2 linked regions of the Macaca fascicularis genome follow. The protein of the gene in region 2 binds, or shares a complex with, the protein of the main gene of each other region. Links are inferred from orthologs where the notes say so. Each region holds a gene or a part of one and is shown on either strand. Other genes may lie near its edges.

Evidence for each region.
Region 1: the proteins of LLGL1 (region 2) and PRKCI are in contact, whole or in part, in a cryo-EM structure (PDB 8R3Y), measured with the Homo sapiens proteins. The link is inferred for Macaca fascicularis from reciprocal best matches to the Homo sapiens genes LLGL1 and PRKCI. Residues at the interface, in NP_004131.4 of Homo sapiens: Ala315, Asp319, Glu367, His391, Ser392, Ala394, Thr396, Glu453, Cys483, Glu484, His485, Phe506, Asp507, Pro508, Tyr509, Ser510, Asp511, Pro513, Gln518, Lys519, Lys569, Ala600, Val601, Thr602, Leu644, Gly648, Pro649, Leu650, Ser651, Arg652; in NP_002731.4 of Homo sapiens: Asp339, Met341, Gln345, Arg348, Leu381, Asp382, Met399, Thr412, Phe413, Cys414, Pro417, Leu425, Glu445, Gly449, Arg450, Ser451, Gly457, Ser458, Ser459, Asp460, Asn461, Pro462, Asp463, Asn465, Thr466, Glu467, Asp468, Tyr469, Leu470, Phe471.

Annotation. Positions count from the first base shown.
Region 1 is NC_088376.1:81,805,266-81,809,067, forward strand, and holds part of PRKCI (protein kinase C iota type), read left to right. Parts: intron 1-435; coding exon 436-525; intron 526-2,145; coding exon 2,146-2,261; intron 2,262-3,802.
Region 2 is NC_088390.1:18,351,492-18,356,019, reverse strand, and holds the start of LLGL1 (lethal(2) giant larvae protein homolog 1), read right to left. Parts: upstream 3,018-4,528; 5' UTR 2,940-3,017; coding exon 2,859-2,939; intron 1-2,858. UniProt on the Homo sapiens protein: Cortical cytoskeleton protein found in a complex involved in maintaining cell polarity and epithelial integrity. Involved in the regulation of mitotic spindle orientation, proliferation, differentiation and tissue organization of neuroepithelial cells.

The sequences.
Region 1 (3,802 bases), on a different chromosome or scaffold from region 2:
TCTTACACAGGCGATGATTTGTTGCTGTAATTGGGCATGGGGCTTTTAAATTAAGCTAAAAACAAACTTCTGATGAAGTTTGGAGGTTTGCATGTTTTGACTGTCACACTAGGTCATACCAAAGAAATGGCTGGGTGCTGCTCAAATGATTCTGCTGTTCTCTTTTTCCTCCTATTTTTCTTTAGCAAGGAATTGGTGATGATTCTCTGTTTTAATTACATGATAGGTGGAGAAAGTGCCACAAAGAAATCTTACCTATCACAAGCTTCAGATAATTCAATTTGTTCTGGAGTTGTACTTTCTAGAAATAAAAGGTAGACCATTCCAACTTCAGAAATAAGACTATCATGTGAGAGCACAAAATACAGATCACAAAGATGATTTATTTTAAAGCACGACATTCACCCAATTCTTGAAACATTTCTTTCACCATAGGACCCTAAGGAACGATTGGGTTGTCATCCTCAAACAGGATTTGCTGATATTCAGGGACACCCGTTCTTCCGAAATGTTGATTGGGATATGGTATGTAAATTTTGATTACTTTCTCTATTAGGTTTCATTATTATCTTCAGCCAAATCTTTTTTTTTTTTTTTTTTTAGGACAGAGTCTTGCTCTGTCACCCAGGCTGGCATGCAGTGGCACGATCTCGGCTCACTGCAACCTCTATCTCCCGGGTTCAAGCAGTTCTCCTGTCTCCGCCTCCCAAGTAGCTGGAATTACAGGCACGCACCACCACACCCGGCTAATTTTTGTATTTTTAGTAGAGATGGGGGGGTTTCACGATGTCGGCCAGGCTGGTCTCGAACTCCTGACATCAGGTGATCCACCCACCTTGGCCTCCCAAAGTGCTGGGATTACAGGTGTGAGCCACCGCACCTGGCCTATCTTGGGCCAAATTTTATTGTCTTAGCTAACATATCACAGCTTTAAAAACTTAAAACCACTTTCTAAACTGCTTTTTAGAAAACTTTTTAAACAAAAAAAATCCTTTTTTTAAAAATGTATTGTTTTTTCTGAGATGGAGTCACATTCTATTGCCCAGGTTGGAGCGCGATGGTGTGATCTCTGCTCACTGCAACCTCCGCCTCCTGGGTTCACGCAATTCTGCCTCAGCCTCCTAAGTAGCTGGGATTACAGGCACATGCCACCATGCCCAGCTAATTTTTATATTTTTAGTGGAGACAACGTTTCATCATGTTGGCCAGGCTGGTCTTGAACTCCAGACCTCAAGTGATCCACCTGCCTCAGCCTCCCAAAGTGTTGGGATTCCAGGGGTGAGCCACCGTGCCCAGCCAAAAAATTGAATATTAATGTAATAAAGCAGGTTATAATGTTATTGAAGCCCATATCAATGTTTATACTTGTTTTTGTTTGTTTGTTTGTTTGTTTGTTTTTTTAAGAGAAACAGTCTCACTCCATCGCCCAGGCTGTACTGTAGCTCACGACAGCCTTGATTGAACTCCTAGACTCAAGAGATCCTCCTGTGTTAACCTCTCAAGTAGCTGGGACTATAGGCATAAGCCATGGTACCCAGCTAATTTTCAATTTTTTTTTTTGGTTTGTTTTTTTTGAGGTGGAATCTTGCTCTGTCTCCCAGGCTGGAGTGTTGTGGCACAATCTCGGCTCACTGCAACCTTCGCCACCTAGGTTCAAGCAATTCTCCTGTCTCAGCCTCCAGAGTAGCTGGGATTATAGGTGCACGCCACCACGCCTGGCTAATTTCTGTATTTTTAGTAGAGACAGGGTTTTGCTATGTTGGCCAGACTGGTCTTGAATCCCTGACCTCAGGTGATTTACGCACCTTGGCCTCCCAAAGTGATGGGATTACAGGCATGAACTGCTGTGCCCAGCCAATTTTTAATTTTTTAATAGAGATGGGGTCTTGCTATATTGTCCGGGCTGGTCTTGAACTCCTGGCCTCAAGTGGTCCTCCCATCTCAACCTACCAAGCAGTTGGGATTATAGGCATGAGCCACCATGCCCAGCTCATATTTGTAAATTATGTTCATCATTGCTAATATCATTGTACCGTGCTTCAGGACTCACTTTAATAAGGGAAACAATGAGTGCAGAGGAGAACTGTAGAGGTGCAATTTTTCTAATAATACAGACTTGAGCTGTCATCCAATATGTCTTTTCAGATGGAGCAAAAACAGGTGGTACCTCCCTTTAAACCAAATATTTCTGGGGAATTTGGTTTGGACAACTTTGATTCTCAGTTTACCAATGAACCTGTCCAGCTCACTCCAGATGACGAGTAAGTAATTCTGTACACTGAAATTTTTTTTTAAGTTTTTTGGAAATCCCATTTTTAGTGACTATGCAATGTTTCATGATCAGATTATACTATTAATTTTTTTATTTTTTATTTTATTTCATTTTATTTTATTTTTGAGACAGAGTCTCGCTCTGTCTCCCAGGCTGGAGTGCAGTGGTGCAATCTTGGCTCACTGCAACCTCTGCCTCCCAGGTTCAAGTGATTCTCCTGCCTCAGCCACCCTGAGTAGCTGGGACTACAGGCTCATGCCACGACACCCAGCTAATTTTTATATTTTTAGTAAGGACGGCGTTTGCCATGTTGGCCAGGCTGATCCTGAACTCCTGACCTCAGGTGATCCACCCACCTTGGCCTCTTAAAGTGCTGGGATTACAGGCGTGAGCCACTGCGCCCGGCCTATACTATAATTTATATAACCATTCAGTTACTGGTATTTGAATCCACTGTACTATTATAAGTTTTAATAGTAACTGTCATTTTCTCCTTTGCTTTATCGTGCATTATCTCATTTTCACAACAACTTTGTAAACTAGTTAAATTGTCATCTTCATTTTACAGATGAGGAAACTGAGGCTCAGAGAGGTTAAGCAAAGTTACACAGCTATCAGGTGGTAGAGTCAGGATTCAAACCCAAATCTCTCTGTCCTGCTGCACTGTTTCCCATTTGACAAGGACTGTCTTTGTCTGTCTAAGTTCCTGAGTATTGCCTTAAGATAGATTCTTAGAAAGGGAATTAGGTCAGAGGGTATTAACATTTTAAAGCTCTTGATATGTATTGCCAAATTGCTTTTTTTAAGGAATTACATTGAGTTATTAAATCCAGCCAGCAGTGAGCTGATATATTTTTTTGTACTTATACTGCATCTTTTAAAAATATACCTTAAAATAATTGGGGGATATTTTGATTATTTACCTGTTGTTACAGATTCATTCTCTCTAATCTCAAGGAGGCCCTTATTGTTTGGCAGTCATTTTACTTCTATCTTATTTCTTACCACATTTCTCCCAGCACCTGCTCCAAACAGTCTCTTCATTTCAGAAGCCTTCAGTTCTACTCCTTTTTCCATCACTGTTAAAGGATTAACCTTGTCTTATTTTGATGCAAGGACTGATAACCTCTCTGGCGTGACCTTGCCTCCTTTCCAGCTGTCACCAGACCACCTTGCATCTCAGAATTGCTTTCTAATTCTTTTCAACATTTTCTTATTCCCTACTCTTGGAAGGCTCTCCTTTACAAGGAGCGTCCCTCCTATTTTCCTAGACCTGTTTCTGTAGTTTTCTCCAATATTTCATTTTGTCAGTTATCTTGTTATTGGACCTTCTTAGATTTATTTTTTTCTAGCTTGCTTCCCTCTGTGTAAGCATGCTCAGATTCTCTGATTTTTTCCCCCTAACTCATAGTCCCTCTTTGAACAACCACATTTTTCCTCATTTTCATTTCGTCTTGAAGCCTCAAAAAAAAAAAAAAACAAAAAAAAAAAAGTCAATAGATGTTCATGGTCAAAGAAAAATAAATATGC
Region 2 (4,528 bases):
AGGAAAGGAGGTTGCATGCACTGTCCACCATCTGCTTCCCTCATACCCCACGCCCAGCCCATTTCTGAGCCCCATCAACTCAGTTTCAAAACACACAGAAGTCACCCCCCTCCCTGCTCCAGGCCCCACTGTCACTCACCTGGATTGGTGCTCACTACAGTCTGTTCCCACACAGAAGCCAGAGGGATCCTATGAAAGCCACAGCCAGATCCTCGTCCCTCCCCTGCTCAGGATCCTCCTGGGGTTCCCAGCTAAGGGAGGCTTGTGCCTCAGGGCCTTTGTACCTACTGCCCCTCTGCCTGGCATGCACTTCCTCCAGCACTTCCTGTCGCTCAGGAGTCATCTCCTCAGAGAAGCCTCCCTAAGCCACCCTGGCTGCAGCAGCCGCCCTGGCCACACCTCCCTCCCCCTCGCCCTGCTTTATTTGATCCACAGCACTGGCTAACATCCCAACTACCGTCTATTCTATTTTTTTGTTTTGGCTTTTCACTGTCTCCTGCATTAGCATATCAGCCACCTGAGTTAAGACATATTTGTCCTTTTTGATAACTACTGTTGTCCCCAGAACCTTGTAGACCTCACACACAGTGGGGCTCAGTATTAACAGAGAAGGCACACTCCACAGGCGACATGTGGGCTGGACTGGGATTTGAACCCAAGACTCGGAGTCCAAAGTCCCTGCTCACTCCTGACCTGTCTCCCACCCCCCAAACTCAGGAATCAGGGGCCTATTCCCTAGCGATCCCCTATGACCCACTTAGGTGACTAAGTCCCTTCCCCAAGACCACCCTACTTTCCACCACTGCTGCCCACACTTCATCCTCAGTGGAGGGCCCTTACTTCCCACCACCCCAAGGCTAGACAGAGTGGGCTGAGCTTCATTCCCACCTGTCTCCAGTCCCCACTGCACATCCCAATTTACTGGCTGAAGAAATGACATTTAGGCCAGGCATGGTAGCTCATGCCTGTAATCCTAGCACTTTGGGAAGCCAACATGGATGGATAGATAGCTTGAGCCCAGGAGTTCGAGACCAGCCTCGGCAACATGGTAAAACCGCACCTCTACAAAAAATACAAAAACTAGCCAGGCATGGTGACATGAGCCTGTAGTCCCAGCTACTCAGGAGGCTGAGGTGGGAGGATCACCTGAGCCAGGGAGGTTGAGGCTGCAGTGGGCTGTGACTGTGCCACTGCACTTCAGCCTGGGTGAGAGTGAGACCCCGTTTCAAAAAAAAGTGACATTTAGCCCTGAGCCTGTTGCTGCCTTTCCCTGAAGGGCCATTCTCCTCTCACCTAACTCTCATAGCCTCCCCAGCACAGAAAACAGGCACTATCTGGGGACCACGGAGCACCAGCTTCCCCTCTGGGCCCCCTCTCAGGTTCCTGGCAGGTTCTCAGCCACCCTGTGAAGGTCCTGGCAGCTCTCACCGGCAACCACTGCAGACCTAGGCAGGGAAACCCTGAGACATCCCAGTGCCTCTGCTACTCCAGGTCCAACCGTCCCAGAGCCTCCTCCAAGACAAGGGTCTCCTCAAGGCAGCCCAGGGCACCTGGCACAACACTGGCCCAGGACCACAGCAGCCCCTTGGAAAAATCCCCGCCCCTCAAGGCTAAAATCCAACCCCACTGACACAGGAACTCGAGAAAGATATTGGTGCAGCTCACTCTGACTCTGGGCAAGCCGTCACCTCTCTCAGAACCTCAATTTTCTCACCTGTATTTTGAAGATAACTCTAATTTCGAAGAGCACTGAGAGGCTCTGCGATCCGTGGGCTCTGGGGTAAGAATGAGGACAAAACCAACGCCCCCAGAGGAGTGAGCCAGGAGCAGGCTGAGGCCCTGCTCTAACATCAGTGCATAGGGAGGCGGGGGCTGAGGCGGCCCCTTTCCCTGGCCCCTAGTGTCCCACTTGGGGAAAGGAAGGAAAAGCCTCCACTTCACTCCACCTTGGTGCGGGGCAGCAGGACAGCTGGCCCATGTGGCAGAGGGAGCCAGGGCCCACAGTAAGGAGAAAAGTAGCCTCATTTCACAGCTAGGGAAACTGAGGCCCCACGATGTGAAGGGCACTGTAGTACACAGCCAGGCATGTCCCCTGGACTCGGGGCCCCGGGCAGGGCAGGGGAGAGCAGGGCAAGGCAGAGCCTGGAGCAGTGGGGGAAGGAAGGAGAGGCTCCTTGAAGGGATTTCCCAGCCGCACCCCCCACAGCTGCCTCGTCCCCACTAACTCTCTCGCCCTCCTGCGTGCCAAAGCACAAAACAAACCGGGGCCCACGGCTGTCCCAAGGGCCGAGCAGGGACGCAAAGGAGCCCCAAAGAAAAAGGATAAAGAGACAGAGAGTGAGCGACAGAGAAGAGGTCGAGAGACTCCACAGAGAGAGAGAGAGAGACACGCAGGGAGAGACAGGCAAAGACTCAGAGACGCAGAGGCAGAAAGAGAAATGAGAGGCAAAGATAGGAAGGGGCAGAGGCAGAGACACCCCCACCACACACACAGTCACAACTGGGGCGAGGGAGCCGGTCAGCGACGGAGAAAGTGGGGCAGAGACCCAAAGACAGGCAAAGAGTCTCAGAGACAGAGAGACCCAGACACACAGAGACTGGCAGACCCAGGGCCAGAGCGGCCCGCAGAGACTCGGGAGCAGACACGGAAAGTCGGCCGGAGACCCAGACCCACCCAGAGTCCGAGCCAGAGCTGGGCCCGAGGAGGGGGTGCGCGGCCCGGCCCAGCCCCCGCCCCGCGCCGCGCTGCATGCCAGCCCCCGCCCCCCGGGCCCGACGTGGCTCCGACCCCGGGTCCCCAGCCCGGGCCCCCGGCCCGCCCCCTCCCACCCGAGCCCGCGCCCGCGCCGCAGCCGCACCTTGTTGAAGGCGAAAAGCTCTTGCTTGAGCTTCTCGCGCTGCGGGTCGGCGCCCTGCCGCCGGAACCGAAACTTCATCATCTTGCGCCCGGCTGCCGGCGCCGCGCCCGCCGCCGCCGCCGCCGCCGCCGCCGCCCGCAGGATGCGCCGCGCGGCCCCGCCGGTCCTGAGGCGCGGGCGGGGCACCAGGCGGCCCGGGCGCGGGCGCGCGGGGCCGGGCCTGCACGGGGGTGGGCGCGGGGCGCGACGGACGCACCGTCCGACCAATGAGCATGCCCGCCGTACCGCCCGCCCCGCCCCTGTTGGCCAGACAATGGTGAACTGGGCCCCCGGGCTCGGCCGGGCTCGCGAAGGGACGCCCGCCTAGCCTGCGCCGCGGCGCGGGGCCTGCCGGGACGTGTAGTCCATGAGCCGGGGCTCCAACGCGGGCGGCTGGGGAAGCGCTTTGGAGGGGGACTGGCGCATGTTCCTGGGCTTGGAGAAGATTTTTTCCTCCTCCCAGAGAGCGAGCGACGTGCCCACTCAAGTAATGGGGCAGCCCTATTCCGAAAGCCAAGAGATCTCTGACTGGAACAACTCCCTGGCCCCTCTGCGCCTCAGTTTCCCCATCTACACCATTGGTCAAGTGATTGCCAAGTTTATAGTTTACCATTCTCACAGAACTCCATTTTGTCTGTTCCTCGCTGTGTCAGAGCACCTCCCACCGCCGTGCTTTTGCCTTGGCTTTATAGTCAGGAATTCTTTCCTCACCCCCAGCCCCTGGGGAACTCCTACACATCTTTCAGGACCCAACGCAAAAGGCTCTGTCACAGTACAGGGGATTCTTTCTTAGCCAAAGAAAGAGACGGGATACCCAGGAGGTGGCATTTGGGACTGTTCTGGGGTTGGATTGGGGCTTTACTGAGATGGGGGAAGGGCCTGCCCCCACAGAGAACAGTGTATGAACAAAGCTTAGCCCTGCCCCTACTGTCTGAGGGGCCGTCTGCCTGTCCCCACCCACCTCCCAGGCCTTTTCTCATCTGGACAATGGCCTCGAGGCTGAACCTTTCCTTCCAGGCTGAGGATAGGTCGCCTGGCTCGGCACTGGGGTTGCGGGAGGTCCTAGAAGCTTAGGTGGGGCAGGTAGGACAGGCCCCAACCCCACCAGCTGTGTCAAGGGAGGAGGAGCTGACCTGTGACCCCGAGGCAGCTGCCAAGCCTTGGGGCCTGGCTGTCCCCCTCCACCCACGCCAGGCCGGCCGTGTTCAGCCCTTCCCCGGATTTGGGGCTGGATCCAGAAGAGGGGCCAGGAGTGAGTGGGGAGGTGAGAGGAGGGAGGATGACGACAGTAAAGCCCCTAAGTGCCTACAGCGGGGCAGGCGCTGTTCAAAGCCCTTTCCTGGTTTCAGCTGACTTAGTGCTGTCAGTAGCTCTACAAGGGAGCCAACAATATTACCCATCCCAAATGAGGAAGCTGAGACCATCAGCCAAAGACTGTTAGTTGTTGGCAGAGCTGCTAGACTGAGGAGGATGAGTGGCCACTGGCCACGCCACACCCAGCACAAGCAGCAGGGACAGCTCAGAGGTCTGGGTTCTGGTCCCTGCCCTGCCTCACAAAGGAAGTGTTAAGAAGTTGCTGGTAGGCCGGGCGCGGTGGCTCACGCCTGTAATCCCAGCACTTTGGGAGGCCG